Canis lupus familiaris: one gene and its partners. The protein of the gene in region 1 purifies or fractionates together with the protein of each later gene. This does not show direct contact. Links are inferred from orthologs where the notes say so. Each region holds a gene or a part of one and is shown in the gene's direction. Other genes may lie near its edges.

Region 1 (5,346 bases):
TTCAAACTGGTTCTTCATAAACATTTCATATTATTTTCACTGAAGTATAAATTAGATGATCAATTGTAACTTTAGCAAAAGAAACCTAAAATTAGAAATAACTTGTGCCAAAAAACCTTCTTTGAATGTATGCATATAGATATATGTGTTTGTGTTGGTCAGAATAGGTGTATTATACATAAATCAACAGAAGCAGCAGGCTACAATTCCCCCCTGTGGTGGAGATTTTCCAAATATAATGAGACATGTTAAAACCTCTTTCAGAAAGTTTTTATTCTGTATACTAAGCAACAGAAGTGGCTGTTCAGGAAGAGGTTATAGAAGTTGTTCTGCAGAGGTTTTTGGCTTCCGCACCTCTGAGATTATACTGTTTATTGCCAAGAAGCATGTGTGAAAATCCCCTATTCTGGGCCACATGATGGCGCTTTTAGCTCTGTCAGCATTAACAATTCACCCCAATTTTATTTTTCAAACCATAATTTGATTCTCAACATTTGTCCTTCTTAGTTTTAACTCCTGATTTTTTAGGTTATAAAGAAACTTCCAAGACTTGTCAGAGTCTACATTCAAACAAAACAGATTTTATAAGTATAACTATATGACTATCTAAATGAGTACACTGTCTCAGAGGAATTTAAGTGTATGTGGTCTGTTTCTGGCCACCAAGTGGGTGAAAAATTTCTAACTCACAACATGAGAAGCATCATACTGCGTCATGATCTAAGTCATCTAGGTCAATGTTTTGTCTCTGAGACAGTATCAGGAGACATTTTGTGGGAAACACGGCCGTTCTCGTGACATTAAAGATTCTACTCCAGATATTTTTCATACTTTAATAATAAAAATGAGGGAGTAGAAAACTCCAAAGGCCCCTTCCGATTCCAAAGCCTCAACAGAAGTATGGAGCTAGAATTCATGGATTTGTCTAAATCTTTTTAAAATCTATCTATATGTGTTTATTATCAGGGTAGAGAGCTTTCTATGGTATAAAATAGTATTTTAGAAATGTTAAAAGACACTACAGATTTTAGTATTTTGGTATCTGGTAAATTATATTAGCTTTCACAACAATATAAGACAAACTAAACTGAGTCAAATTCAATATTCTATTTCCAAATAGTGTGCAAGATCATGGTTTCCCTGAAGATGTCAACTTCAAGTTGTTCTGGACATGCTATAAAACATTCCTGGTTTTTCTTCAGAATTGAAAAACTTTGATCTTACCCTTTATCAGCCTTCTTTACAGACTTTCCCTAGTCTTATGCCGATAATTTTAATTTTCATCACTTTTATAAATAAAACATTTCCTATCTAAACTTTTACTATGGTGACAGTGACTGACTCAGACTGTAAAACACTAGAACTAAAGGGAACTAAGAGATTAATGCAACTTTCTACTTTGCAAATGAGGAAACTAAGGCTTAGTGTTGATAACAGACTGACAGTAATATGCATGTACTGGATTATAATGTAAAGTATACTATGGTGGTCAGTGCAATAAAATATTCAATTCTTTGAGTGGATTTTAAAATTTGCTCTTATTTTTTTAAATTTTAAGTATTCAATAGTTATTAATATTAATAAAATAAATAATAAAACAAAATAATTATGACTTAATTATGGTGATATGATTTAGTATGATGACACTTTAAACTAATGAAAACATCTCTTCCTTAAATACTAAATCCTGCCATTTAAAAGCAACAATTTTTTCCCCTTTAAAAGAAGATAGGTTCTGAGACACCTGGGTGGCTCAGCTGTTACTCAGCTGTTAAGCCTTTGGCTTAGGGCATGATCCTGTGGTATTGGGATCGAGTCCCACATTGGGCTTCCTGCATGGAGCCTGCTTCTCCCTCTGTCCGTGTCTTTGCCTCTCTCTTTCTGTGTCTCTCATGAATAAATAAATAAAATCTTTGGAAAAAAAAAAGATAGGTTCTGAATGGTATTATTTAACATTATATACCTGATACTGTATGTGAGCAGACTTTAAAAATCACATTTCTGTAGAGCTTACATATGCAACAGCTGGAAAGGCTTTTTAAAAGAATACTGAATTCTAGAATTCTGATCTTTGGAACACTTAAAAATATCAAACATTCTCTGAAGACACAGTGACCTCTAGTGGATTCATGAAATAAACTGACATAATGCTTGCCAGTAAGAATTTATAAATTAAGGTAAACCTGATACTGGAGATATAAAAGATACTAATATGGTTATATACTAACAAGAATCATACAAAAATAAGGGCTACCATTATACATGTAGTATAACTGTATACAATTATATATTTATAGGTTACTCACTAGTTACTTTTAAACAACTGGAATCCTGGTATTGTTGAGAACCTATCACTCGCTTAAGAAATACAGTTAATCTTTCTGAGCTTATTTGATAAAGATGTTGTGTTAAATTGTCCCTAAGGGCCTTTCAGCTCTTTAATTATGATCTTTTCTTCTTTAATTCATTTTGTACACCAGTGTCAGATCAAATTCTGTTCAATAGCATTTGAAGGCTCCCCAATACTTGTCCTCATTAGAATAAGTAAATTTGTTTCATTTGTGTGCTTGTTATGCCATTCCATTAACATTTCAATTTAAACTCACAGGTTTGGTTTCATAAGTGTGTGTGTTGTTTGTACAGGTGTGGGTAGCCTGTTGGATACTAAGCTCACATTATATACACTGAATGTAAATTAAATTGATTTGTCTAAATTAGGGAAACCAATGCCATTTTCATCTTTCTTTTTTAGTGAGGTAGGGAAGGGCATATAAAGTAGAATTTCAAGAACCCCAAGCATAAAGTGACAGAGCTTCACATTCTGGGAAAAGGTGGGCGTTCTGAACATAGAATAAGATTTTGGGAAAAACTGTTTTAGATTAGCTGAAGGAAGTACCAATAAGTGTATCTGAAGAATATCAAGATGACAGGAAGGGTGGTTTGGTAAATAGTTTTGAAGCAGATATGAGGATGGGCTAAGTTTAACTAGAGAAGATATCACTGGAAACAATGTTAAGGATAACTTAAGAAAACACTGATTTTAACAGCTGGGGAATGGAATATGTGCAGCTGTCCTAAGACTGAGGAGGCAATAAGCAGCTCTGTTGAAACAAACATTAAGAAAGGAGAAAAAGAAAAGTAATAGTTAAGAAGGTACTCTTAGGTCCCCAGTCACCTTCGACAATGCTACAATCCTTTATCCTTCAAATAAGAAAGGCTAGTAGAGAAGTAGTGAACAAGTTTGTCTTCATTATGTGTAATTCAATTAACAAAGGTCATAGAGTGGTGTGCTTAACATATTCTCTCTCTATATATATATTTATTTTTAAGAAAGTGTGTGTGAATGAGGGGCAGTCGGGAAAGAAGGAGAAAGAATCGTAAGTGGACTCCACATTGAGTGCAGAGTACAACACAGCACTTGAACTCACAACCCTGAGATCATGATCTGAGCTGAAATCAAGAGTCAGACGCTTAACTGACTGAGACACTCAGGCGCCCCTTTACATATTCTAAACCACACAGCATTGGATCTGCAGGCAAAGGTGTCAGCCAACAACAGGACTGTCCCTCAGTACAAATGATGCTAGTTCAAACTACAGTGGTTTCATATTACCTTGTGCATCAGATAACACTTAAATAAGTTTTTTTCTTTAGGCAAAGGTCTTTAGTTAACTTGCATCTCATTATGTTTATGTCATTAAGTTCATTTAGCATTGATACTCTTTTACCACATGCCTTGTGTTGCAATATTCTCTATGAAACATGAGTTATTTGGGACATTATTTCATTTAACCTTGTTTGAAATTGGACAACATAGTTCAATTACATAACAATTTTTGTTACCTTTTCTACATATGGCATTTGCCCCTCAATAATAAATTTTCTCTCAAATTCAGCAACTACTGAAATGTTGTAAAAGTTTAAACATTTCCTAAGAGGCAAAACCCCAGGAATGTTCATAATATTTTTTTGCTAAAAATTATATTGGATTTGTTTAAATTAAAAAAATACTGTACTGATTTTTAATAGTGAGTGAATTAGTAACCTGAACTTTTTAACCTTTGTACATAGTTGTTTTTTAGTACATAGTTTTCTAACAAAATTCAGTTGGATCCTAAGATCTAGTATCTACTTGAAAACTTTAACATTCTTACTCTAAGATTATTATACTAATAGAGTTAATAGAAATAACTAACATAGCAGAAGTGACGTTCAGGTTTTGTGATTAAAACTAAAACAGCAGGGGCAGCCCAGGTGGCCCAGCAGTTTAGTGACGCCTTCGGCCCAGGGCGTGATCCTGGAGACCCGGGATCGAGTCCCACGTTGGGCTCCCTGCATGGAGCCTGCTTCTCCCTCTGCCTGTGTCTCTGCCTCTCTTTCTCTCTCTCTCTCTGTGTCTCTCATGAATAAATAAATAAAATCTTTAAAAAACGAAAACAGCAAAGAAACACCATTTATATTTATTAATTTTCTGATTTTAAGTGTAAAATCCTTAATAACTATGCTTAAAATAAAAGCATTTCCCCACAATTAAAATGTATACAATGGTAACATCCTACAGAAAACTAGCACTACTCTCTACATATCTCAGAAAGCTGGAATATATCAACAAATTATATGTAATGATTTAAATTACCTTTCCTCTTCTCGAACCCATACTGGAGTTTTAGGAATTTGTGCTTCAAAAAACTTAGATGCTTTGTAACAAAAGTTGCTGCAAAAGCACTGAAAAAAATTTTTTAATTAGCAAATTATTTCATTCTTACTATGAAACACAACTTATGTACTGAAAACATAGTTCAAATAATGAAAACCGGGGATTCCTGGGTGGCACAGTGGTTTAGCGCCTGCCTTTGGCCCAGGGCGCGATCCTGGAGACCCAGGATCGAATCCCACGTCGGGCTCCCGGCGCATGGAGCCTGCTTCTCCCTCTGCCTATGTCTCTGCCTCTCTCTCTCTCTGTGTGACTATCAAAAAAAAAAAAAAAAAAGAAAACCCATGAGTCCACAACCCAAGGTAAGAAATAATGTATAATACCTTTGAAGCTCTCGATGTGTCTGTCCCAGATAGCATCACCTTCCATATTCCCCACTATCATACATTGTGTGTTCCTAACTCCCTTGCTTTTCTTTAGTACTGCTATCTATATATACATACCTACAAAGATATCATTCAGTTTTGCCTAATTTTAAACTTTGTCTAAATATAATTGTACTGCTATATTTTCTGGGATTTTTTTTGTTCCACATTATATTTTTCAGATTCATGGAGGTGTAGTTTCTATATTTATACCTTTATTGTTTACGAATAATTGAGTTGTTTCTAACTTTTCTGCTATCACTACAA
Region 2 (4,920 bases), on another chromosome or scaffold:
GCCAGGGATCTACTGATAGATGTCAGTTTATCTATGAAGTCAGTTTATGAAATTCTTTGTGTAAATGTATTTTTCCAGAAATATGATTCATGACTCCCCCAAATATTTAAAAGATCTTTTCCCCTCTGTTTTAGGTGCCTTCTACAAGTACCCATGCATTAGAGAAATCTGTTAAAAGCAGTAGGCTATTAGAAGCTTGGAACCAACCCTGTTCATGTAATTTTCCTAATTATCTAGCCTAGCATCATATACAGCTGGGTACTTAATTTCTGTTGTTGTTTGTTTGAGAATGCTTTGTTCTGGCCTCTCCCTTATCCTGAGCCAAGCATTTGGATCTTTTGTGTTTGGTATAAACTGTACTAGAAAATAAAGCAAAGGGGCTTAGCCCCTGGTTTTTGGTGTTCTCTTTGAAGATTTTTGGGCACAGCAGAATTTGATTTGTGTCTTTGTTGACACTGAAATAAATTTAGGTCAATTGGAAATGAGTTTAAAACACAGCAGTGTACTATTATTCCATATTGACTTTAGGGGAGCTTTATTCATTATTAGTCTAATAGGGAATAGCTATAGAAGTGATTCATTCTTGACTTTCCCCGCTCAACCAGGAGAGCAGTGTAGAATTAATCATGGCAGCAGACAGTGAGGTGTGTTTTGTTTGATTGGCCCATTGGTTTGGTTTGCCATGCATGAAAAAGTGCTTGTCATTTGGGTGACTGATAGTAAGAGCCCACTTCAGAATGTATACTTCTAGAAATACACGTTATACCATTTAATCCAGAAGATCACCCTGTGAAAGTAGATATTATCCCAATTACATAGGTGGGAGAAAAGGCTTCGAAAAGTTAGAGATAGCCAACATCAAACATCTTGTAAGGAGCTCCAAATTCCTTGCTCTTTTCGTTTTAGCAGTCTGAGAGGTGGAGGCATTCTAGAGGATCTCAATATGAACAAAACATGGCCCTTGCTCTCAAGGTTTCTTTTAAATCCATCCAGTGTGTCTTCTTATAAATATATGATAGCACAGAAAAGTGCAAACAACTTCCAAGTATAGGGTCAGGATTGGTATGATGAAGGAAGAATTGAAGAGGGAGGAGTGTTTGGAGAAGAAGATGAGAGGCCAAAAGCATGGAGATGGGAAAGCAGTGGGCTTTGCTTTAGTTAGGAATTACTCTCGTTTGGCTCGAGCATGAGCTGCATGAAAGAAAGTAAAAGAAAGTGGTGGAAGCTAGACCTCTGAAAGATAAGTTAGGATCAGATTGTGAAGGGCCTCAACTGCCATGCTAGGGAAGAACCTCATTCTGTAGATATTTTGAGCAGGAGATAAAAAATGTAGCTCCAAAGAGGACCCATAATAAGCATGATAAATACTTAAAATTCTAAGTTATGATTTGTGCTAATCTCTTCACATACATTGTCTCATTAATGCCTCACAGTAACTCCATGAACAATGTACTCCATCCCTTTTACAGATGTGAAATTGAGGCTCAGCGAGATTAAGTTTGCAGGTGTTGGACAGATATTGCTGGAGCTAAGACTTGGACTGGGGTCTGTCAGCTTCTAAAGCCTGTTCTGTTTACCACTATGCTATATTGCCATTAAAAGGGAAAAAAGGTTTATTTATTTTTGAGAGAGAAAGTGAGAGGGTGAGTGTGCACAAGTGGCAGGAGGGGCAGAGGGAAAGGATCTTCCAGCAGATTCCCCACTGAGCGTGGAGCCTGATGTGGGACTTGACCCCATGATCCATGAGATCACGACCTGAGCTGAAATCGAGTTGGATGCTTAACTACTGAGCTAGCCAAGTGCCCCTGTATATTGTCATCTTAAAAATCAGATCACTTGATAAGTTCTTAATTCTCTGTCAAAAATATGACTATAGGAAAAAGACATTTTCAGAGTTCTAAAGTACTGCTTCTCGGTGTGTAATAATGTTAAGGAATATAATCACTACCAAACCTGATTTGTACTGCTCTCTAGTTTGGGACCAGTGCTGGATGGGAAATTAAAGAGTTGGATGGTGTTTTATGTACATACCACATGACATCAATACATGCTCATGACAAGTGTTTTTGCTTTCATTTTCAGCATTTAACTTTATTGGCCCTATGTAAATCTTAGATCAGGGAAAGCCCATACATATGTAGGGGCACTTTCAGATGTTCATAGCAGTGCTATTTTTCTAAGTTAAAATATGTTTCTTCTCAGCAGGTTTTCTTGCTTATAAAAGACAATGACTACTGATGAAGGTGCCAAGAACAGTGGAGAAAACCCAGCAGCAGCTGTGGCTGAACGTGGAGAGGATATCACCTCAAAAAAAGATAGAGGAGTATTAAAGGTGAGGTTACAAGGATGAATGACATGCAGGGAAATTTGCTGTCTGGAAGGATAATTTATAAAAATCTTTCTTTTTTTCTTTTGGCTGGAAGGTGGAGGTCAATAATGTTTATTGAGGCTTACCTAAGTGCTAAACACTACAACCATTTTTCATTTCATCTTCATGACTTGAAGTTTGTTTTAATCCCAAATTATATTTTAAAAATGGAGGGATCCCTGGGTGGCTCAGTGGTTTAGCGCCTGCCTTTGGCCCAGGGCATGATCCTGGGGTCCTGGGATCGAGTCCCACATCAGGCTCCCTGCATGGATCCTGCTTCTCTCTCTGCCTGTGTCTCTGCCTTTCTCTCTCTCTCTTTGTGTCTCTCATGAATAAATAAATAAAAAATCTTTTAAAAAAATCCCAAATTATAGATGGTGAGACTGAGGCCCAGCCAGGTAAATGAATGGGGTCCAGATCCAAGTTATGTGTGACTCTAGAAGGCTCTGTCTCCCAGTTCTCAGAGCGTACACATGGGTTATTATTTTAACATAATATTTCAGTATATTAAAGCTAATTGGTGACAATTCAAAAGACTTAGAGGAAAAAGAAAAGGTAACTTGCTAAAGTTCAAAGGGATTTTTTTCACATGCAAATTGTTATTTGTGCAGTGAAGGTATTTTTTGAGATTTCATCAGAGAATATATCTTACCTTTGAATTAGCTTTCCTCATTAAAACACACTATATCTTTTTCACTCTATAATTAATCACATCTACATGTGTGTTTTTATTTGTGTCTCACAATGGTCTTGTGAGATAATCAGAGCACCTCTTGAACTTTCCATTTTATTTATGGAAGGTATATATTGGTATTCCAGGTAAGTAAATAAAGTGGAGCTGAGAGAGGTTAAATGAATTTAGTCATATTAGGTCATTATTTCTCCTACACTGTTGTTACTCATACAAGTTTGTATAGTTTTTTTTCTTGCTGAAAAGATTATCTTACACGTTCTAAATATCATCACTAAGCTGAATTTCAATATTTCCTTGTGTCAGCAGCAGCAGCAAATGGGAATTTTTTAGTTTGTCTAGTCTTGCTTATGTGAAAGCTTTCTTCCTGTGCCTGAGTCTTCTGAATATACGTTTTACTGTTAGCTTGCCACGTACATGCAAAGCCAAATTTTGGGGACTTTCAACTCTGGAAATAGGGGTTTTATGTCTTAGAGTTATATACCGCTGTCTTTTTCCATAGGGCTTCTTTTTTTTTTTTTTTTTTTTTTTTTTAAGATTTTATTTATTTATTCATGATAGTCACACAGAGAGAGAGAGAGAGAGGCAGAGACACAGGCAGAGGGCTAAGCAGGCTCCACGCAGGGAGCCCGACGTGGGATTCAATCCCGGGTCTCCAGGATCGCGCCCCGGGCCAAAGGCAGGCGCTAAACCGCTGCGCCACCCAGGGATCCCTCCATAGGGCTTCTTAACCTGTATGAATTACCTATCCTGAACTCCAGGATGCTTCTAGAGACAATAGATATCTGCAGGCTGTCCTCGGCATCTCCCTGCTCTGGTTAAGTCCTTCTCTTTCATCTTTTCCATGCACCCATACAGAGAACATAGTCCCCAATATGCCTCCAGCCCTGTATTATTCCAGGGAGTAAATCCGATAAGATTTTTAGGTTTGTAAGAAACATTTTGGGATCCTAAGCCTTTTAAATCCTATAATTTATCCCTGTCTAGCACCATGGGGCTTTTGGTTAAGATTAAATAGGTCTACTAATTATATGACCTAGGGCATTTTAGTTAACCTCTCTGTGGTGAGATTTCCTCATTTGTAGAATTGGAATAATACTACCCACCTCATATAGTTATTGAGATTATATAAAGCATTTAGCAGAGTGCCTCATCTGTAGTCATGTCTTTTATTACTATAAAAGTAATAAAATTACATTGTGGAGCTGAATCAAGACTAGATTGTATCCTTAAAGCATCTACTTAAAGTAACTCTTCATGTCTTCCCATTTTTCCCAGTCTAGAGCCCCTAACAACTAACCTTCTACTCTCTGTTTTTGTGAGGTCAGCTTTTTTAGATTCCACATATAAATGAGATCATACAGGATTTTCTGTCACTTAGCGTAATACTCTCAAGGTCCATTCATGTTGTCACGATGGCAAGATTTTATTCTTTTTTTATGGCTGGATTAACATTTCACTGTGTATATAATATACATACTACATTTTCTTCATCCATTCGTTTCTCTGTGGACACTTAGGTTATTTCCATAGCTTAGCTATTGTACATAATGTTGCAATGAACATAGGAGGTACATATGTCTTCGTGAGCTAGTGTTTTCGTTTTCCTCAGAGAAATACCCAGAAGTGGAATTGCTGGATTGTATGGTAGTCCTGTTTTTAATTTTTTGAGGAATGGTCACACTGTTTTCCACAGTGGCTTCACTAACTTACATTCCCACCAACAGTGCACGAGTATTCTCTTTTCTCCAAAACCTCACTAATACTTGTTATTTCTTGTCTTTTTAATCTTAGCCATTCTAACAGATGAGGTAGTATCTTGTGGGTTTGACTTGCATTTCTCGATTGTTTTCATTATTTC
Region 3 (4,920 bases), on another chromosome or scaffold:
TTAAATAAAAACTCCTAGCAGGAAATGTACAAGGTTTATTGTTACTAACTTAACCAAATTTAGAGGTTTGTTCTTACAAGTAATCCATTTTGAAATTTGGGCTTGTGGAATACATTGTTAGAAACCATTGATTTTTGTGAACATCATTCTCCTCAAATGTGTTCTTCAAAACAGTGTATGAGCTGAGATTTGGTAAAAGTAGCTATGTTTAGTCTGTAAATTACTGGATTGACAACGGAGGAGATCAGGGTTGGGCTTGGTCCTGGGAACTGTGTTCTGTGTGTGTGTGTGGGGGGGGGGTGTTAGTTACCTTCCTGTTTCTTGGGCCTTATAATGCACCCTCAACTCTGGCCAGCCATCTTAGAAAAATGCTCCTGTTAGGAAGGTCAAAAGATTTGTAGCTACATTACTCAGAAAGGTACCAAAATTCAGGTCCTTTTCATATTGGGTTAGGGGCGTCCTTGACATAAGATAAACAATGCATAGGTCAATCGAAGCAAAAACTCATTTTCTCTCTAAGATCTTTTTCTTTTCCTTTCCTATTTTAACATCATGACATTCCTGCTTGGCAGCAGGCATAATGCTATGATTATGTTTTCCTCCATTTCGGGTTACTCCCCTTGCCTTGCAACCCCTCCTTATTCCTTTATCTCTTTCAAAGTTTCCATTCTCCGCTCCCTAACTTTTTATTCCCTCCCTTCTTCTCTTCCTCCTCCTCCTTTTTCCCAGCTAGCTCACCCCGCCCCTCACCGTCACCACCTTCCCTCCCCTTCAGGCTCCTTCCCGCTGCTTCTCCCGCCACCTTCCCCCCACCCCGCCCGCCTCGCGTTCAGAAAGCTCCAATCAGCAACTCGGGAGGTGTCTCAAAAGCCCGCCCCCTCCTCCCTTTCCACTTCTCTTCCCCCCCTTTCTCCCTCCCCCATCCCCCCCCACTCAAGTCCTGCGGACCTGGGGGCTTCGGGACCTGGGCGCTATGAAAAGTGTCTGCCCAGTCACTTCCGGTAAGGGCGCTGCAGCGCGAAGCTCCCCGCGGGACCGTTAAGGAGGGGGTGGCAGTTACTGGCGGGCCAGGGAAGAAGAGTGCTGCCAGGGAGAGGGAGCGGGAGGGGGGGCAGCGAGAGCGAGAGAAGGAGCACGACCGTCTGGGGCGCCTTAGCCGCCGCTTTCCCGCCGCCTCCCTCCCAGCCAGCTCCCCCGCCCCCCGGGCGCCTGCAGTGCTTCTCTCCACCCCCCACTCCCGGGGACAGACGCCGCCCCTCCCTCGCCGCCGCGTGACCGGAAGTGGCGCCATCTTTAGCCTCTTGTGCTATTGACAATAACAAGCCCTGGTTCTCTCCCCCTCCCCCTTCCCCCTCCCCCCAACCACGGCATCTCCCCTCCCAGAGAGAGGGAGAAAAGGAGGAGGAGCTGCAGCCTCACAGACTCACTGAGTCGCTCCTGCAGAAAGGGGGGAGAGAGACCGAAAAGCAGGGGAGGGGGACGGCACGGCCGTTTACCTGTCTGCCTCCTCATTCGCTCTCCCCCCTCGTTCTGCTCACTCCTGGTGTCAGCCTATCCGCCTTCCCAAACCCTCCCATTCCCCCGGTGTAGCCCCCCCTTCACTTTCCTTCTCGTCCTCTGTGTTTCTCCTCTCTTTCTTCCCTTCCCCCCTCTAGCATTGCCACCTTCTCTCCTACACGCACGCAGGCATATAAACGTAGGTTTTTGATGCTCCTCTGCCTGTTGACCCCGCTATTTTCATGTTTCCAACAGGTTTTTCTTCCCCCAATCCCTCAGCTGCTGCTGCTGCTCAGGAGGTCAGATCTGCCACTGATGGTAATACCAGCACCACTCCGCCCACCTCTGCCAAGAAGAGAAAGTTAAACAGCAGCAGCAGTAGCAGCAGTAACAGTAGTAACGAGAGAGAAGACTTTGATTCCACCTCTTCCTCCTCATCCACTCCTCCTTTACAACCCAGGGATTCGGCATCCCCTTCAACCTCGTCCTTCTGCCTGGGGGTTTCAGTGGCTACTTCCAGCCACGTACCGATACAGAAGAAGCTGCGTTTTGAAGACACCCTGGAGTTTGTAGGGTTTGATGCGAAGATGGCTGAGGAATCCTCCTCCTCTTCCTCCTCATCTTCACCAACTGCTGCAACATCTCAGCAGCAGCAACTTAAAAATAAGAGTATATTAATCTCTTCTGTGGCTTCGGTGCATCACGCAAACGGCCTAGCCAAATCTTCTACCACCACTTCTAGCTTTGCTAACAGCAAGCCTGGGTCTGCTAAGAAGTTAGTGATCAAGAACTTTAAAGGTAACCAAGGCCAAAATCCATAATCACTGACTAAGGATTTGACACTTGAGCGGTCACGTGCTCTATTTATGTTAATATATTAAACAGTATAGAGGTGGCCTAATGTTTTATGCATAATCAATGAGGTGGAGGGAGGTCCTTTTTTGGGTGGAGGGTTCATTTTCCGGGGGTGGTTAGTATTCTTGTGCTGAAGCATACACCGGCGTGTTTCTGTGCAGTATTTGATGTCTGGCTCAGTTTAATCTGTTACTCAGTGTAACATTGCCAGTCGGTATGATTGATCTGGATTATACAGGTGAGAAATTTGTATTCTAAGGAGGTTTATTTGTTTCAGGTGCATAGTGAGCTTTGGCACTGCTGGGATTTTTATTTTTATGCTTCAGTAGGCCACATTCTCTAGTCCCTAGAAATGCAGGTAGCATTGGTGATCTTTTCATGCTCAAAGATGATTTATAGTTAGATTTATAATGTTGGATACTATATTCTTGAAACTCCTTGTGGAAGCAGTTTTGGAGAAAAATATTTATGATCTCTGCATATCTTTCCAAAGATAGGGTTTGGAAGTGAAAAATACTGTATACACAAAAGTAGTAACTCTGTGTACCACTAGTCTAAAGATAGGAACAATTACTACATCTATTTTTTTTTTCACTAAAATGGGCTTTAAAGTACTGACCTGCAGCTTTTAGGAAAATTTGTTCATTTCATGTTTGAGATATGTGATTAAGAGTATTATGAGTGCATTGATGCATGTAAAATCAACAATTTTTAAAAACATAATTGAAATGAATTACTTTTTTTCTGTTGACTGTATTTGTTTTTCTGACTTAAGTTTTTCGACATCCTTAACTGGCAGGTAATAGATGCTAAGATGTTTATTAAATACAAAAGTAAATGAATGAACTGAAGTAGTATTTACCAGATAAGTGTCTTGTGGCTAAATATCAGTATTGAGAAAATTAGATTCTCAGTGCTTGTGTTTTCAACATTAGTGTGGAAATCAGAAATATGCTCTATTTTGTCTAGAGCAGAGGGTTATAGTGTTTATTTTTAACCTTTTTTTCCTATCACTCCTCTCCCATCCCCAGGTTCTTAAGAGTGTTGTAATCTTTCTGATTTAATAGTAGACCTTTCTGAAGTAAATGTGAATTGTAATTGACTAATATGTTCACTGTTCCAAAGTATATCAATTTAACAGTCAAGGATTTTTAAAGAGAGGAGTTATGATCCTAATTTAATTTGCATACTGGTTTCTGAGATTTTGTTTGGGTTTTTTCTTTCCCTCTTAAACTAAAAACATATCCTTAAGGCATTAGGATATTTTAATTTAAAAAATACTCATTGCTGGTCAATGAAGTTTAAAGCCTGGCTTAAGGTAGTCCTGTCCATTCTGAAAATGCTACAGAGGTTCTGGAGTCATTTGGATGTTTTAATTTTTTTAAATTTTACTCTGCTCATGGATGTAGTTTAAATTAAAATCTGAGTTAAGATGTTTCTCTTCATTTGTAGATGGTGCATAAATGTGGGGGTCAAACAGAGTTGGGTTAGAATCTCAGTTTTGCCACTGATTAGCTTTAATGACCTTGGGCAAGCCTTACTAAATGAGTCTTCTAGCCTCAGTAGTTTTCTCCGTTGTAAGATAGAGATAAATAATACCTTCCTTAGAGCATTGTTAGGGAGATTAAGATGTTTGTAAGGTACTGTGTGCACAGTGGATATTCAGTATTTTAAATCTTAGGTGCAAAATTCATGTTGACTGACTTAGGATTTACATGTGATGGAATAAGATCGGGACTGTTTTTATCTGTGATTTTTGAATTTTGATTTTTTAAAGCAATACAGTCAATTGAAAAAAAAACCTCTCACCTTTAATTTTAATAGGTGAGTCAAAATGACTTAAACAGTATTCTGGCATTTCAAATTTTATTCTTTATGCTAAGGCTAAAAAGCAGTAATTACTTTAATAATTAGATGTTGTGATTATAAAAATCACAATTTACCCTTGAAAAGCAATAATACTATTACTGTACTTTAGTGGAGCCTTCCATTACTATATCCTACATATTCTGATATCAACCTTGTACATATCACCTAGATAAGCCTAAATTACCAGAGAACTACACAGATGAAACATGGCAGAAGCTGAAAGAAGCAGTGGAAGCTATCCAGAATAGTACTTCAATTAAGTACAATTTAGAAGAACTCTACCAGGTATGTATTAATGTGGATAACCAGATTTGGCAAGCATAAATTGAAGTAGTATGTAAAATATGGATTTTACTTTGAAATGACTCCTTATGTAGACTTTTGGTTTCCTTCTAATGAAAATGTCTTGATTTATGTACTCTGCTTTATAATCAGACCACATATTCTGACATACTCTAACATTCTGACATAAACTATGAGTATAGTCATACTGGTATATATTGGGTTTACCTTGGACCCTTCTGACTGGGATTTATAGTGAGGAATACCTTGGTATTATCAAGGGTTTACCTATAATGGAATCATACAGCCTGGATCCCAAAGGTGTGATTTCTGATGACAAGTCATTCTGTTATGGTACTTATCCCTAAGTGGTGTTACTCACCTATAGGAAAGGCCTCAAGAAATGTAGATATTCTC
Region 4 (4,920 bases), on another chromosome or scaffold:
CTTTTTCAGGAACGACTTTGCTATTAGGCTTTGGCAGCCATTGATGATCATGACTTGAATCAGTTATTCCGTTACTGGTTACAAATTGGCAATACTCTATTATTCATTCAGCATTTAATAACTGACTTTCTTCTGTAAAGAAAAGCTTTCCCTTAGAGACTAAGGAGCTGTCAGTAAAGGAGAGTAATTTGGATGAAACTATGAGTTCTGCCCACTCATTACTTCCTTGTAATGAGTTGTAAATATGTCTTCAGTTATATTTGGTGTATTTTTTAAAGTATATGTGTATCAGAATGCTTTATTCTAGTTTGAAGTTTCATCGAGTTTGCCAAACTATTCTGCAGGTTAAATGAACTGTTTTGTCATTTTCCTTTTCTGTTTACACGGCAGTAATTAAATGAATCGTGCAAATTTGAGATGTCCTTCCTTGCCCCACATATGCCCTCTATCGTTTTCCCAATCTATTCAACTGTGAACTTGTAAGATAATAGTGCTGAAAAGGAGGCAAGAGGCCCATGTACCCCTAATGCTGACAATTAAAAAAACAGGAAAAAAGTTTTAATAGAGTGCTAACTAGTTTTTCTAGTGTTGCAGAATGAACTTAATAATAAATAAATGATATTTTGACCCTTTACTTGTGTTGTCTCCTAATGCTCCTTGGGTTCTGATGGTGATAAAAGACTGTTGTTGGGTGTGGCAGGGGGCTCATTCTGGGCCCTGACAGCATCAGTGATGGGTAGCCTGGTGGTCCTACTTCATCATCTAGGTGCTTGATGCATTATTCCATACTTGTTTCTGACATATGATTAAACAGTCATTGCACAAATGCTAACAATTTATGTGATATTTGACTTTTCACCACATTTCCCAAACTTAAATGTTGAAATGAAAGTCCTTAAAATATTCTTTGTGCTAATGTTGGTAGGATACTCCTAATATTAACTTTTTACTTAAACTATTTTGTGTGAATTGATTATTCTAATTCATTATTATTAACCACCTTTCATGAAAATTCAGAGACAAGGAATTTTTTTTAGGTGTTTCCAAATAATTATCTGAATAACGGTTGTTTCTGAAATAGGTTGAGGCATAATGAAAGTTTGAATAGCCATCTGTGTCATAGTAAGTTGGAGAATTGACTATCTTTTTAAAATGTTTAATTATATATATATATATAAATAAAGGAACCACAAAATCTTGATCAGAGTTACTAATTACTACTAACAGGGAGAATGTAGCCTCTGGGGTAGGTTCATGAAGGTTCATACAGCTCCCTTAAGTTAAAATGTAGAGCTCTAAAACTAGATCTGTAGCGGTTTAGTTTATAATCCATTGACAGTTGAATAATGCAGGGGGTGTGTATATGAGAAAGACAAATACAGTCACTAAACTACAGCTTTATGCTTTAGGAAACAGTTTGTTGACTTGCATTAGCTTTTTATTTTATGTGTTACAGAGTGCATACATGTACATGTTTGTCATACTGTTTGTTACAAACTTTTTAGTGTGCTGTCCCTCTGGAATGTCCCAGAACCGTAGTGTGCCTAAACCTGCTGTATCCTTTATAGCTTTCAGGTTGGCATAGAATCTAGAGCTTTTTTGTTCTATCAACTATTTCCACAAAATAATGGATCTTTCTTTTTGTCTCTCCTCCCATTTGTATGACCCTAGAAAGTTACTGGGAAGAATGATGTTTATGAGATAAAGTAGCATTGTTAAATTTTAGCAGAAGCTGTGGGTTAGATGGAGCCACTGGAGAAGCATCTCCTTTACACCTGTGGACCTCCCTGAGTGCTTGAACCAAGATAGAGGCAGCACATAAAGCCATTACTGGTCACCTGCTGTCATTCTCTCCTTTTGTCCATTTCTCCTGCCCTCACCTCCTGTTTCTGCTTTTTTCTTGTCCAGGTCTTAGCTTTCCTATTAACACTTAAAGACATTGTTACACACTGGTAGAGGTCTGATAGTTTAATTGTGATTTATACTGCATACTCAAAACTAATAGCCCTCCCTCCGATCCCCCGAAACAAATAAACTGATTACACTGCTAGTAACAATTTAGTAAGTCCTTGGCTCATTCTTTCAGGAGAAAGTAGCTGAAATAAATAATTATTACTCAAACAACTTTGAAATATTTCTTTGAATGATCAGTTTATTGTCACAATTTTGTTTTAATTGTAGGTGAAGTTAAAATGAACTATTTGGGCAAACCATATGTAGCCATGGTTACTACATACCAAATGGCAGTTCTTCTTGCCTTTAACAACAGTGAAACTGTCAGCTATAAAGAACTTCAAGACAGCACTCAAATGAATGAAAAGGAACTGACAAAAACAATCAAATCATTACTTGATGTGAAAATGATTAACCATGATTCAGAAAAGGTATGGGGTAATATTTCAAGGAATTCTTTTTTTTAAAGATTGATTTATTTATTCATGAGAGACAGAGAGGCAGAGACATAGACAGAGAGAGAAGCAGGCTCCTCACAGGGAGCCTGATGCGGGACCCAATCCCGGATCCTGGGATAATACCCTGAGCTGAAGGCAAACGCTCCATCCCTATTTCGAGGAATTTAAGCATTATAAACATTATAGCTTGAGACGTTTGCAGTTTTTAAAGTAAGATTATAATCAGTAATACCCTTTGTACTTTGGAAAGCACTGGAGTCAGCTAGCAATACTGCTGGCTACTTAGAGCTGTGAGCTTGTGGAATCACAGAGAAGTTGGTGCCTCTGTGCCCTTTATAATTGGCTGGATTCTGGTTAATTGAGGCTAAAAACAATAGCATATCCTAAATCTTCCTGATTTTTTTCACATGTGTTTAATTGATATTTAATTATTTAATTACATGGTTCTAATAGAAAATGACTATTGATATTATTTATATGTATATTTAGCTTGTGTGACAATTCTGAATGCTCTCACTCTTCTGTCCCTTCAGTCCAGGACTCAACTAATAACCACCATATATTTGTAGTACAAATATATTGTCACAAGAATAGCAAGCCAGGAATATACTACTTTTCTTAATAGCTTTTTTTCCCTAGTAACACGTTTTTGTTACTGTTATAGTATATATATATATATATCCTGGATATTTAAATGATTCAAAAGCAACAGATGTGAGTTAAATCTCCTAATTCGAATTGTGCCTGTAAGAAAAAATTCTTATAAATCAGACATCATTTTTATTTTGGTGAAGTTAATAGCCTACTATTTCTGTCATCAGTTCACTTAATTAATGATATATATTTTTAAAGATTTATTTATTTGGGGGGTGGCAGGAGAGGCAGAGGGAGAAGAGAATCCTAAGCAGATTCCCTGCTGAATGTGGAGCCCAACACAGGTCTCAATCTCATAACCCTGAGATCATGACCTGAGCTGAAACCAAGAGTCAGACGCTTAACCAACTATACCCTCCAAGCGCCCCTGCTGGATGATATTTTGTAGCCTATAATTAAATAGTTTTAAATGGCATATATTTTGAAATTCAAATCAAGCTTTTCTTAATACTGAGAAATTAATTTTTGATTTCAGAATCTTAACAAAATATTAAATTCTTAATATTAAGATTTTAATTGAGTCAATCATTAAGCATGAATTTTTAAGCTTATAACCTAAAAAGTTTAAGTTTATAAGCTAAATTAAGTACTTAAGACATTATGTATTTTCTAAAATGTATTATTTTTGCTGCCCGGGAATGTACAAAATATAGATGATTGCTTGTTTGCACATAAATTTTAACTATGAATCTGCTGTTCCTTAGCAGAACTTCTTAGCTTATTATTGAGAATGAATTCATTTGCTAAGTGCTTTTTGATCTTGCTAATGGAGAAAACACCATGTGTGATCAGAGTGGCTTTCATAAGCTTGATAGTTGTGATTATAAAAATTGACTTAACAACTTTCACTTGAAAAGAGGCCACGTGCTTCTGGCAGACAGTAAAACATGAATTCGAGGGTAAACTTCATAAGAACCATACTAAAGCCGTGTATGCCACTGGACACTACTTGTTTCTGTTGTCGGGTTATTTATAATACGTATACGTATTTTCTTATTGCAGCACTTTAAAAGACATTTGGTTGCTCACTTTTTCAAAATAGGGTGACATAAATTATGAGCCTAGTAGTTCATAAGAATTAAAGTGTTAAAAAAAAAGAATTAAAGTGTTAAATTCTGTTTAAGACAATTTGACTCTTTATCCGATGGTTATATATATTAGTTGGGCCATAGCTTATTTCTAAATCTAAACAGATTAAAATTCAAGTATAAAATTAGAAAAGAATTGATATTTGCTTCTTTCTTTATTTTACAGAAGACAGTTGTTTTTCTCTTAAATAATCTTTATAATGTAAAATGATGAGCGTTTAGTCTTGCTTGGTCATTTAATTTTATGATATTTTATTTGCAGCAACTCTTATTTAATTGTTTTAATTTTTATAAATATACATGCATTATTTTCAATTATAGGAAGACATTGATACAGAATCTTCATTTTCATTAAATATGAACTTTAGCAGTAAAAGAACAAAATTTAAAATTACTACATCGATGCAGAAAGACACACCACAGGTGAGTGATTTTTAATGTCATTTCTTTGGGAAATATTTAAACATTGGACTTCACAAGCGGTAACTGAGATAATGGAAAACTTTGCACATCAAAATTAATAATGTGATGCCTTTTTTATGATTTATTCTTTGAGCTTACTAAACCTTGCAAACCAAACCTCTGCCAGTATTTTAGATTATAAAAATAATAGATATCTAAGAGTAATGTATAATATAATAGATATCTAAGGGAAAAGGTATTGCAGTATAGTCATACTTTTAGACTATATTAAAATGCAGAGCATTGCTTTGCATTCTTCACAGAAATTCCTATTTATTTTTAAAGATGTTATTTATTAACTTGAG
Region 5 (4,920 bases), on another chromosome or scaffold:
AATGGCAGCTTCTGGGGGCATCAGCTACCTTGTAAGGCTCTGGAAGGCAAAGCGCAACCTTTTTGGGTGGGTCTGAAGGCAGAGGGGTAATTAGGAAGGAATGACATATCAGAGTCCTGAGAACTGGGGCCTTGGAAGTATAAATTTGTTGGCTGCAGCTGCATTTTAGATTCTGAGTTTGGGAGAAGCCCACATTCACCGATCTAAACATTCCTCACTCTCTACCTTTTCGGGTTTATGTGTTTTAGACCAAGGCTCAGGCACCAAGGCAGGCTCTTGAGAGCTTCGCCCTGGCAGGAAGAAGCATTGGGAGCTGTGCCTAGGCTCTGCCGGCTCTGGAGTCCCAACACCCTACTGCTCTATCCCAACCTTTGGTACTCTCCTTTTCCTGGGCTTTCAGGCTTCTCCGAAAACTCATCTGCCACATTCTTTTTTCTAAACCCACCCCTCATCCCTTATGTGGCCTGCCTTTTGTTTCCCATATGTTAATCTCTGTGGCTCTGGGCTCAGATTGTTCAGGAGCTGCTCTACTTTCTGCATCGCCTGGCCTCAATGCATAAGGACTATGCTGTGGTTCTCTGCTGCCTGGGAGCCAAAGAGGCCCTCTCCAAAGTCCTAGACAAGCACTCGGCTCAGCTGCTGCTGGCCTGTGAGCTTCGGGACCTGGTGACAGAGTGTGAAAAACATGCCCAACTCTACAGTAACCTCACGTCCAGCATCCTGGCTGGCTGCATTCAGGTGAGGAGGTGTGTGGGTCCAGAGCTGAGGGAGAACATAAACCAGAAGCAGGGGAAGAGGATTCATTGTGGGTCCTCCTTTGGTAACCCTATTTGGCACAAATGGTAGCAAATCTGGGGCACTTGTTTCCCCAGTCTTTACCCCACATGGTCCTGTTCTGCCAAAATGTGTGAAGAGAGAGGTTGAGTGTTTTGTTGCCCCTTGACTTGTTCTCCATACATGTTTCTGTATGTTCACACTCTTCCCTCCTCCCCATACCCCTTCTCTCCACTGTTCCCACTGCAGATGGTGCTGGGCCAGATCGAAGACCACCGACGAACCCACCAACCCATCAACATCCCCTTCTTTGACGTGTTTCTCAGGCATCTCTGCCAGGGTCTGTGCCCCAATCTGCTTTCTTCTGGCTTCCACCCCAGTATTTGTTTTCCCCGTCTCTTTCCTTTCTTCTCTCTCAACTAACTAGACTGTGATGGCCACCCCCTCCCACTTACCCCTAGGCTCCAGTGTGGAAGTGAAGGAGGACAAGTGCTGGGAGAAGGTGGAGGTGTCCTCCAACCCGCACCGGGCCAGCAAGCTGACGGACCGCAACCCCAAGACCTACTGGGAGTCCAACGGCAGCACTGGCTCCCATTACATCACCTTGCACATGCACCGTGGTGTTCTTGTTAGGTATGAACATGCTCATGTGCACATATGCATACACACACGCGTGAATATTTTGATACACCCCAGTATACATTCTCCAAGCACCCACATATGTGACTCTATAAACCCTATGCGTTAGAGACACACTCAAACCCATCCTGTGCAGTGAATAGATAGACACATAGATCTACATTCCTTGTATAGTATAGACATTCTTACTCCCTGAGCCTGTTGACATGCTCCTCCTACTAGGGACAGATGTGCATGGTGTTGTGGGAAGTTGATTCTTTCCATGGGTGCTTGCTTAATGTATACTCTGTGCCAGGCACTGGGCCAGGGTCTAGGGCTATAAGGACAATTAGATATAGTACCCATCCTCAGGGAACTTGTGGTCTTGTTGGGGAGTTAGTCTGGAAAATCAGTAAGAGTAAGAAAAAGTGATGTGGACCCTGAGGCCAAGTGAGAGGTGAGAGAAGTCTTCCAGAAGGAGATGTTAAATGAGTTCTTTCAAAGTAGAAATTAGCTATATAAAGAGAGGCAGTGGCTACTCCAGGCAGAGGGATAGCATCTGTGTAAAATGGAAGTAAGAAACACAGTGATGTATTTGGGGGAAGTTTAAGTGACTGGCTGGAATGAAGGGTGTGTGTTGGGCAGTCAGGGTGGCTCAGTGGTTTAGTGCTGCCTTCAGCCCAGGGCCTGATCCTAGAGACCTGGGATTGAGTCCCATGTCAGGCTCCTACATGGAGCCTGCTTCTCCCTCTACCTATGTGTCTGCCTCTCTCTCTCTCTCATGAATAAATAAATAAAATCTTAAAAAAAAAAAAAAGAAGGATGTGTGTCATGAAAAATAGCAAGAGACAAAGCCAGAAAACTAGGTAGAGCCAGACCACAGAGTTTTGTAAGCTAAGTAGTTTGAACACTATTCTGAAACTGAGGGAGCCACTAAAGGATTTTAAGAATACAAGAGACAGGGGATCCCTGGGTGGCACAGCGGTTTGGCGCCTGCCTTTGGCCCAGGGCACGATCCTGGAGACCCGGGATCGAATCCCACATCAGGCTCCCGGTGCATGGAGCCTGCTTCTCCCTCTGCCTATGTCTCTGCCTCTCTCTCTCTCTCTGTGTGACTTCATAAATAAATAAATAAATAAATAATTAAAAAAAATAAAATATATATTTAAAAAAAAAAAGAATACAAGAGACAAAACTGAATTCTTTTCTTTTTTCTTTTCTTTCTTTTCTTTTTCTTTTCTAGAAAAGTCACCCTGGTGATTATGAGAGTTTGGGTTGAAGGCCAGAGTTGGAAGGTTTATGCGGTGGTCTCGTTGAGAAATGAATGTTTTCAGGATGCCTGGGTGGCTCAGTGGTTGGGCGCCTGCCTTTGGCCCAGGTTGTGATTCCGGGATTCGGGATTCTCTCTCTCTGTGTGTCTCTCATGAATAACTAAATAAATCTTAAAAAAAAAAAAAAAAAAAAAATGAATGTTTTCAGTTAGGCAGAGGGAATGGAAATAAGGAAGGAGTAGCAGACAGATCTCAAGTCTACAGGATGTGCCACTGACATGAGGGAAGCCATGAGCCAGAGAAGTCACATAGTTTAATGTGAATACTCTAGTGAGATGGCAGTTTTCTTCCCTAGAGGACTGTAGGAAGAAGAGCAGACCTCTGTGGATAGATAATGGTTCCTTTTGGGCATGTTGACTTTGAGGTGCCTATGGAGTGTGATATGGAAACGTCTGCTGGGTACACAGCATGAAAGCTGAGAGGAGCCATCTAGGGTAGAGATGTGGATTTGGAGTCATTAGGGAATTGGTTTTTGGTTGAAACTATGGTGTTTTTTTTTTTTTCTTTTTTAAAAGATTTTATTTATTCATGAGAGACACAGAAAGAAGCAGAGATAGAAGCAGGCTCTCTGTGGGGAGCCTGATGTGGGACTCAATCTCAGGACCCCAGGATTACGCTGTTCCTGAAGGCAGACACTCAACCACCGAGCCATCCAGGCATCCTGAAACTATGATTTTAAATAAAGTCACTTTGATGGAAGATAGAGCAGAGGCTCTGGGGAAGACTAACACTTAAGGAGGCAGCGGGATGGGGGTCTGAGGAGGAAGTAGTGGGTTGAAGTCATTTTTTAAAAAATTTTTTATTTATCTATTCATGAGCGATAGAGAGGGAGAGACAGGCAGAGGGAGAAGCAGGTTCCATGCAGGGAGCCTGAGGTGGGACTCGATCCTGGCTCCCCAGGATCACACCCTGGGCTGTAGGCAGCACTAAACCGCTGCACCACCGAGGCTGCCCAGGTTGAAGTCATTTTGAACAAAGACCAAGGCCCCAGGTCTAAATGATTGTTTTTCCTCTCCCAGGCAGCTGACTTTGCTCGTGGCCAGTGAGGACTCAAGTTACATGCCGGCAAGGGTGGTGGTGTTCGGAGGTGACAGTGCCAGCTGCATCAGCACTGAGCTCAACACGGTGGGGACCCTGGTGCCCCTCTTGACCTTACTCCCCATCTTTCTATCCCAGGACCTCCTGGGAAGGATCCAGTCCCTGGGAGATTCCCATGTTCCTTTCCCCAGGCAGGCTTTGCCTCCTAAGCAGTGAGAGCAGAGCTCAGCATGCAAATTTGCGTGGTTCCATGGGTTTAGGACAGAAGTAAAGAGCACACACTGTCACAGGATTTGGTTGCTGTCAGTAGTTCCTCCAGCCCCACTTCTGGAGGTGATAGTTCTTTCTCCTCCCCTACCCCATCAGGTCAATGTGATGCCCTCCGCCAGCCGGGTGATCCTCCTGGAGAACCTGAACCGTTTCTGGCCCATCATCCAGATCCGCATAAAGCGCTGCCAGCAGGTAGGGTTAGGGGAGAGGCCGGGCTGGGGATCATGGGGTAGCATAGGGTCTTCATAGTGATTGCATTACCCAGCATTTGCGTGCCAGGCTCAGGCCACACATCTTCTTGGGGATGGCCTAGGAGCCTGTTGAGTTTGAGTATCTCCAGGGAACTCAGGGCATGAGGCCTGGCTCTTTTTTTTTTTTTTTTTCTTCAGTGCTTGTTGGCTGGGTGGCTAAGGTAATAGACAAGTCTGTGCATGTTACAGGGCGGCATCGACACCCGGGTTCGAGGTGTGGAGGTCCTGGGCCCCAAGCCCACTTTCTGGCCACTATTCCGGGAGCAGCTGTGTCGCCGTACATGTCTCTTCTATACCATTCGGGCACAAGCCTGGAGCCGGGACATAGCAGAGGACCGCAAGCGCCTCCTCCAGCTCTGTCCCCGGTGGGTGGAGCAGGCAGTGGGCTGGCCAGGTTGATGGGAGGGAGGAGAGGTTAATATAGTAGGAGGACACTGTTAAGAAGTAGGCAGTGGGAGGGGCACCTGGATGACTCAATTGGTTGAGCATCTGACTCTTGGTTTTGGCTCAGGTCATGGTCTCACCATTAGGTGATCAAGCCCCACGTTGGGCTCTGTGTTCTGTGCGGCATCTGCTTCAGGTTCTTTCTCCCTCTCTCCACTCTCTCTCTCTCTCTCTCTCAAATAAATAAATAAAAT
Region 6 (5,679 bases), on another chromosome or scaffold:
TGTAAACTTACTGGATTCACTAATTTATAACGATTTTGTCTCGAAGTCTTATATTATTTCAATATCCTATAATTATGTTTTTACCAAGCTCCATGTAGGTGTTTCCCCACCCCCATTTACCCCACTGCACTATGCAAATTTTTTATTATTTTCTGGTGTGTCATAATGTTAGGAAGTATTGCTGTCTTCCCAGGATGAGCCTGTTCCCCTGCTGGGAGCTGATTCATCTGACCTGGGTCATGTCTCTGCACTTACCCTGACCACAGGACGAATCCAAGTGCATGGTATTGGCGGGGGCCACAAGCAGCGTTATCGCATGATTGACTTTCTGCGGTTCCGGCCTGAGCTGGAAACAAAGCCAGGACCTTTTGAAGAGAAGGTCATCATGGTCCGCTATGATCCCTGTAGGCAAGTTGGGATGTGAGATGATGGTGTGGCTGAATGATTCATCTGTGGCTTTTCAGAACATGTAGGGCTGCCTAGATCATCTGCTCATATGTCTTCACCCCTCACAGATCAGCAGACATAGCTCTGGTTGCTGGGGGTAGCCGGAAACGCTGGATCGTTGCCACAGAAAACATGCAGGCTGGAGATATAATCCTGAACTCTGACCACATAGGCCGAATGGCAGGTAAGAGTGCCGCCAGATGTGTATGGGCCCGGAGGATGCAAGGGGTCTGGTGCTGATGAAGTTCTGTCTTTTAGTTGCTGCTCGGGAAGGGGATGCACATCCTCTTGGGGCCTTGCCTGTGGGAACCCTCATCAACAACGTGGAGAGTGAGCCTGGCCGGGGGGCCCAGTATATCCGAGCCGCAGGTATGAGGAAAGGAGCTGCTTTGGGATGGGGAGTCTTAAAATTTGGAAGACCAAAGGGTACCTGAGGTCACAATTCTCTGAAGTCCTGGCCCCACATGTAGTCCTCTGGCAGAAAAAAAGAAGAAAAACGAGAGTGGAGAGGTGCTTGTGTTTTGACCTAAAACATTGTGTGCATCCTACTTCAGGGTATCTGTTCCTAAAGGGCAAAGCAAGGTCAGGGTATGGGCTATGTCGCCCTGTAAATTTTCCCCCGCCTCCTCGTTTGTGGAAGACAGCAAAGTGGCTTCCCTCTTCCCCAGGGACATGTGGTGTGCTGCTTCGGAAAGTGAATGGGACAGCCATCATCCAGCTGCCATCCAAGAGGCAGATGCAGGTGTGTGTGAGTATAGGTGGGAGGGATCAGCAAAGGAGGAATTATCGGAATGCACCTTTCTTGTCTGGGATAGTTCCCAGGTGTTTTAGGAACCACCCTGAGCTAGGTGTGTCCTTTTCTGCCATGTGACCAGGCATGCCCTGTCAGGCTGGCACTATAATGGGAGAGGGAATAGTGCCTTTTGTTTTCAAATTACCATAGGACCTGCACTCAGGTTCGATGATGCTGTGGTTTTTTCCTGTCCTCTCCCTTCTCTCAGTGAGTGTAAGAAGCCTCCCCAGAGTCAGGAAATCAACGTCATGTTCTTTCCCAGTGGTGCATTCTCCTCCATCCGCTTTCTCCGTCAGGTTCTGGAAACGTGCATGGCAACAGTGGGCCGGGTATCCAACGTTGATCATAACAAACGGGTCATCGGCAAGGCTGGGCGGAACCGCTGGCTGGGCAAGAGGCCTTCCAGCGGGCTATGGCACCGAAAGGGGGGCTGGGCTGGCCGCAAGATTCGACCATTGCCTCCCATGAAGAGTTATGTCAAGCTGCCTTCGGCAGCTGCCCAAAACTGATATCGCTGAATTCTAATAAAATCGCTCCTATTTTTATCTGTTACTGTTTTTTGGGGAGGGAGGATGGTACATACTAGACCTGGGGGAGTGGGGGAACACAGGTGCAAACAAGGATGGAAGAGAAAGGAAAGGACGTTATGCGGCGAAGACTGGAGCTCTTCCCCTCTTTTCTAGCCACCCCACCCACCCCCGACTCGTGGGGGTTTTTTTGTTTTTTTGTTTTTTTTTAAATATAATGGGAGGAGGAGGAATAAATGACCTCCAAGGTCTTCTTCGGTTCTGACTTCGGGAATTGGAGAGAACACTTCCGGTGGGAGGAGGGAATACGGAAAGGAAGAGGAAAGGGCGGCGCAGAGGAAAAGGTGCCGCCCGTTGCCGAGGTGGCACCGGCGACTCCGCCCCAGCGCTCTCCTAGGGCCCCCAGCTTTCCGCTGGGTCAGCGGAAATGAGCCGCAGCTCCGGGCGGGTGGCGGAGCCCCAGAGCTGGGCGGGCGGCGCCGCTGGCTGAGCCCGGTCCCGCCTCGCCCCGGCGGCCGCTGACCTGTGCGCGCGGGCGGTGACAGTGGCCGCCCGGGGGTGCTCGGTCTCTGCGCGCCACGCCCCCGCCCGTCCTTCGGAGGCACGCCGCCTCCCGCCTCTCCGCTTAGACCCCCTCGGGGGCCCAGGCGGGGCCCAAACCTCTGCCAGCATCGCCGCCATCGTCTGCGCTGCGTCCCTAGCTCAGCGAAGGACAGGCCTCGCGCCGGGACCCCCATCGACTTCTGAGGTGGCCAGAGCCCCGCCGCGGCCCCTGCCCCTACCCTGGGTTTTCCTCTGCACACTCGCCCACCGGCCCCGCGCCCGCTCGATCTCGCGTCCCCCTATCCTACTTCCACAGTGCCTTGGGGTTCTCGTTTATCCCGTCTAGCCTCCTCCCCTGCACCTTCCCACGCGCCCCCAGCTCCTCGGGTCCACCTGCCTCTCGCCGCTCACCCACCGTGTCTCCTGTGCACCCCGTCCTGGGTCTCCCGTCGCCCCCACCGGCCCTGCTGCTCCAGTGTCCCCAGTCCTCGCCTCTGCTGCCCACCAGCGTCTCCTCCCGGCCCATCGCGCCTTGCCCTCACCCCACCCCAACCCACCGACAATTCTCCGGATCTCTTGTCTCTTTGACACACTCCTGCGCTTCAACCATCAGACCTAATGTCCTTTTCCAGGCACTCAGGGTCTCACTCCCCAACACACATAGCCCACCCCCACACCCCTCCGGGCTTTATTTATCTCCTCAGGGCTGCTGCCTGTCCCAGGGCCTTGGGATTCACTTGTAACTCCAAGGTTGCCCTGCCCACACTGTCCCCTTCCCACTGCTCCAAACCAACCCACTCCAGTTTGCAGGGCCTTCAAAACCCCCTTTCAACCAAATTTTGTGTTCTTAGAACAAACACCCCAGTGTTCCCCTGCTTAGGTCTGGCCCCACCCAGCCTGCAGCAGGCAACTCCTGGGCCCTGCTTTACTCCAGCCAACTGGACAGCTGTTACCACATTTGCTTCCCCAATTCCTGGACGTCCTTGATTTTCTGAACTCCCACTCTCATTTTAGCTTGCCTGTTCTCTTTTCCTTGTGTGTCTCAGGTGCCAGAATGGTGGGGGAACTCCGCTACAGGGAATTCAGAGTGCCTCTGGGACCTGGCTTGCATGCCTACCCAGATGAGCTGATCCGCCAGCGGGTAGGCCACGATGGGCATCCTGAGTACCAGATCCGCTGGCTCATCCTCAGGCGTGGGGATGAAGGGGAAGGGGGCTCTAGCCAAGTGGACTGCAAGGCTGAGCATATCCTACTGTGGATGTCCAACGACGAGATCTATGCCAACTGCCACAAGATGCTGGGCGAGGACGGCCAGGTCATCGGCCCCTCTCAGGAGATCACAGGGGAGGCTGGGGCCCTGGACAAATCTGTGTTGGGGGAAATGGAAACTGATGTGAAGTCTTTAATTCAGAGGGCCCTCCGGCAGCTGGAAGAGTGTGTGGGTACCATCCCTCCTGCTCCTTTACTTCACACTGTCCATGTACTCAGCGCCTATGCCAGCATTGAGCCCCTGACTGGGGTATTCAAAGACCCAAGGGTCCTGGACCTGCTCATGCACATGTTGAGTAGTCCTGATTATCAGATTCGCTGGAGTGCAGGCCGGATGATACAAGCCCTGGCCTCCCATGATGCTGGTGAGGAACAGTGTGGGGAGAAAAGAAGGGGAAGCTGGTTAGCTTGGGGCCTCACATGACACTGTGGCAAGAGCCTCTGCCTCATCAGTGCCTGAATAATTCTGTTGTCCTTCTCTTTGAGTTGGAAGAAAAGGAGATAGGAAGGTAGATAGGGACATCTCTGTAGGAAGAGGAAGGGACAGGTTGTGGGTTGGGTGAGGGAGTGCCTGACTGGCTCATTCAGAAGAGCATGCAACTCTTCATCTCAGGGTTGTAAGTTCACCTTTTGGGGCATAGAGTTTACATTTATTTATTTATTATTTAATTAATTTATTTATTCATAGGGGTGGGCAGAGACATAGGTAGAGGGAGAAACAGGCTCCATGCAGGGAGCCCGATGTGGGAGTCGATCCTGAGTCTCCAGGATCATGCCCTAGGCCTGAGGCAGGTGCTAAACCACTGGTGCTAAACCACTGAGCCACCCAGAGTGGATCCCTAGAGTTTACTTTAAAAAAAATTAGAAAAGAAAGAGAAAGGACTGAATCCTCAAGAATCTCACATTAATCGAATCTCTACGCAAAGGAAGAGTTAAGGTATTTGATTACTGTAGGATATATATGTATATGAAATATGAATATAGGAAAGATAGTAAGTTTTTTTTAAGCTAATTAGCAAAACATTTCATCCCCAAAGGGTGACAAAGGGATTGGACTGAGAGAGAAGAGGGTCTAGGAGGGATGCCCGGAAGGGCAATGTGAGCAGTTACTGACTGGGTGTGAGTTTCAGGGACTCGGACCCAGATCCTTCTGTCACTAAGCCAGCAAGAGGCCATTGAGAAACACCTGGATTTTGACAGCCGCTGTGCTCTACTAGCTTTGTTTGCACAGGCCACACTCTCTGAACACCCTATGTCTTTCGAAGGCATCCAGCTGCCACAGGTATTCTGTGGGGAGGTTTCGGTAGGGGGGTGCTATAAACAAGACCGAAGTACCAAGCCTTTTTACCTGCCCTTAAAGGATGGTGTGGAAAGAGGAGCTAAAGCTGGGACAAGGTGGATGTAGGCCAAAGATTGCATCCTACAGGTCCCAGGAAGGCTACTCTTCTCCCTGGTGAAGCGCTATTTGCACGTCACTTCCCTTCTGGACCAGCTGAATGACAGTGCTGCAGAACCAGGAGCCCAGAACAACTCTGGTCCCGAGGAGTTGAGTGGGGAAAGGGATCGACTGGAGCTGGAGTTCAGCATGGCCATGGGCACCTTGATCTCAGAGCTGGTGCAGGCCATGCGCTGGGACTGGGCCTTGAGCAGACAAAGGCCTTTGGCACGGTCCTCCTGCTCCATCTTCCAGCCCCAACTGGCAGAGGCTGGCCCCGGGCTGCCACCCACCCGGGCCCAGCCCTCCATTAGGAGGTCAAGGAGGTTCCGCCCTCGCTCTGAGTTTGCAAGTGGCAATACTTATGCCTTGTATGTGCGAGAGACGCTGCAGGCTGGGATGCGAGTGCGCATGCTGGATGACTACGAGGAGGTCAGCGCTGGGGATGAGGGAGAGTTCCGTCAGAGCAACAACGGCATGCCCCCCGTGCAGGTGAGCCAAGACATGTGTGAGATGCTGTCAGGGCTCTAGCTGGGGGAGCATAACTGGGGCTTCCATACAGGGGGCTCTGGCAGGCCACCCATGGAAAAAAAAAAAACCCTGTGGGGATTGGAGTGGTGAAAAGAGGTCAGGGAGGTGAGAAGGGGGCCATTTGGAGGGCTGAG

The links.
Region 2: the proteins of GLMN (region 1) and FKBP5 purify together in Homo sapiens (affinity purification with mass spectrometry; 3 studies listed by BioGRID and IntAct, with this or other methods). This does not show direct contact. The link is inferred for Canis lupus familiaris from reciprocal best matches to the Homo sapiens genes GLMN and FKBP5.
Region 3: the proteins of GLMN (region 1) and CUL4B purify together in Homo sapiens (affinity purification with mass spectrometry; 3 studies listed by BioGRID and IntAct, counting the BioPlex papers as one, with this or other methods). This does not show direct contact. The link is inferred for Canis lupus familiaris from reciprocal best matches to the Homo sapiens genes GLMN and CUL4B.
Region 4: the proteins of GLMN (region 1) and CUL2 purify together in Homo sapiens (co-immunoprecipitation; 4 studies listed by BioGRID and IntAct, counting the BioPlex papers as one, with this or other methods). This does not show direct contact. The link is inferred for Canis lupus familiaris from reciprocal best matches to the Homo sapiens genes GLMN and CUL2.
Region 5: the proteins of GLMN (region 1) and CUL9 purify together in Homo sapiens (affinity purification with mass spectrometry; 3 studies listed by BioGRID and IntAct, counting the BioPlex papers as one, with this or other methods). This does not show direct contact. The link is inferred for Canis lupus familiaris from reciprocal best matches to the Homo sapiens genes GLMN and CUL9.
Region 6: the proteins of GLMN (region 1) and CUL7 purify together in Homo sapiens (affinity purification with mass spectrometry; 4 studies listed by BioGRID and IntAct, counting the BioPlex papers as one, with this or other methods). This does not show direct contact. The link is inferred for Canis lupus familiaris from reciprocal best matches to the Homo sapiens genes GLMN and CUL7.

Annotation. Positions count from the first base shown.
Region 1 is NC_049227.1:57,125,169-57,130,514, forward strand, and holds the start of GLMN (glomulin), read left to right. Parts: upstream 1-2,103; 5' UTR 2,104-2,177; intron 2,178-4,636; coding exon of another isoform or gene 4,637-4,725; intron 4,726-5,346. Other genes in the region: putative RNA polymerase II subunit B1 CTD phosphatase RPAP2, read right to left, coding at 4,637-4,725.
Region 2 is NC_049233.1:4,961,710-4,966,629, reverse strand, and holds part of FKBP5 (peptidyl-prolyl cis-trans isomerase FKBP5), read left to right. Parts: intron 1-2,202; exon of another isoform or gene 2,203-2,205; 5' UTR 2,206-2,227; coding exon 2,228-2,332; intron 2,333-4,920. UniProt on the Homo sapiens protein: Immunophilin protein with PPIase and co-chaperone activities. Component of unligated steroid receptors heterocomplexes through interaction with heat-shock protein 90 (HSP90).
Region 3 is NC_049260.1:93,256,238-93,261,157, reverse strand, and holds part of CUL4B (cullin-4B), read left to right. Parts: intron 1-863; exon of another isoform or gene 864-973; coding exon of another isoform or gene 974-1,001; intron 1,002-1,752; coding exon 1,753-2,295; intron 2,296-2,464; exon of another isoform or gene 2,465-2,568; coding exon of another isoform or gene 2,569-2,590; intron 2,591-4,390; coding exon 4,391-4,506; intron 4,507-4,920.
Region 4 is NC_049223.1:2,206,842-2,211,761, forward strand, and holds part of CUL2 (cullin-2), read left to right. Parts: intron 1-2,181; coding exon 2,182-2,384; intron 2,385-4,474; coding exon 4,475-4,576; intron 4,577-4,920.
Region 5 is NC_049233.1:11,876,622-11,881,541, forward strand, and holds part of CUL9 (cullin-9), read left to right. Parts: intron 1-510; coding exon 511-738; intron 739-1,023; coding exon 1,024-1,114; intron 1,115-1,235; coding exon 1,236-1,407; intron 1,408-3,742; coding exon 3,743-3,848; intron 3,849-4,127; coding exon 4,128-4,223; intron 4,224-4,471; coding exon 4,472-4,647; intron 4,648-4,920. UniProt on the Homo sapiens protein: Core component of a Cul9-RING ubiquitin-protein ligase complex composed of CUL9 and RBX1. The CUL9-RBX1 complex mediates ubiquitination and subsequent degradation of BIRC5 and is required to maintain microtubule dynamics and genome integrity.
Region 6 is NC_049233.1:11,759,007-11,764,685, reverse strand, and holds the start of CUL7 (cullin-7), read left to right. Parts: upstream 1-2,264; 5' UTR 2,265-2,515; intron 2,516-3,356; 5' UTR 3,357-3,364; coding exon 3,365-3,944; intron 3,945-4,709; coding exon 4,710-4,861; intron 4,862-5,005; coding exon 5,006-5,506; intron 5,507-5,679. Other genes in the region: MRPL2 (39S ribosomal protein L2, mitochondrial), read left to right, coding at 267-408, 516-631, 706-816, 1,002-1,189, 1,537-1,749. UniProt on the Homo sapiens protein: Core component of the 3M and Cul7-RING(FBXW8) complexes, which mediate the ubiquitination and subsequent proteasomal degradation of target proteins. Core component of the 3M complex, a complex required to regulate microtubule dynamics and genome integrity.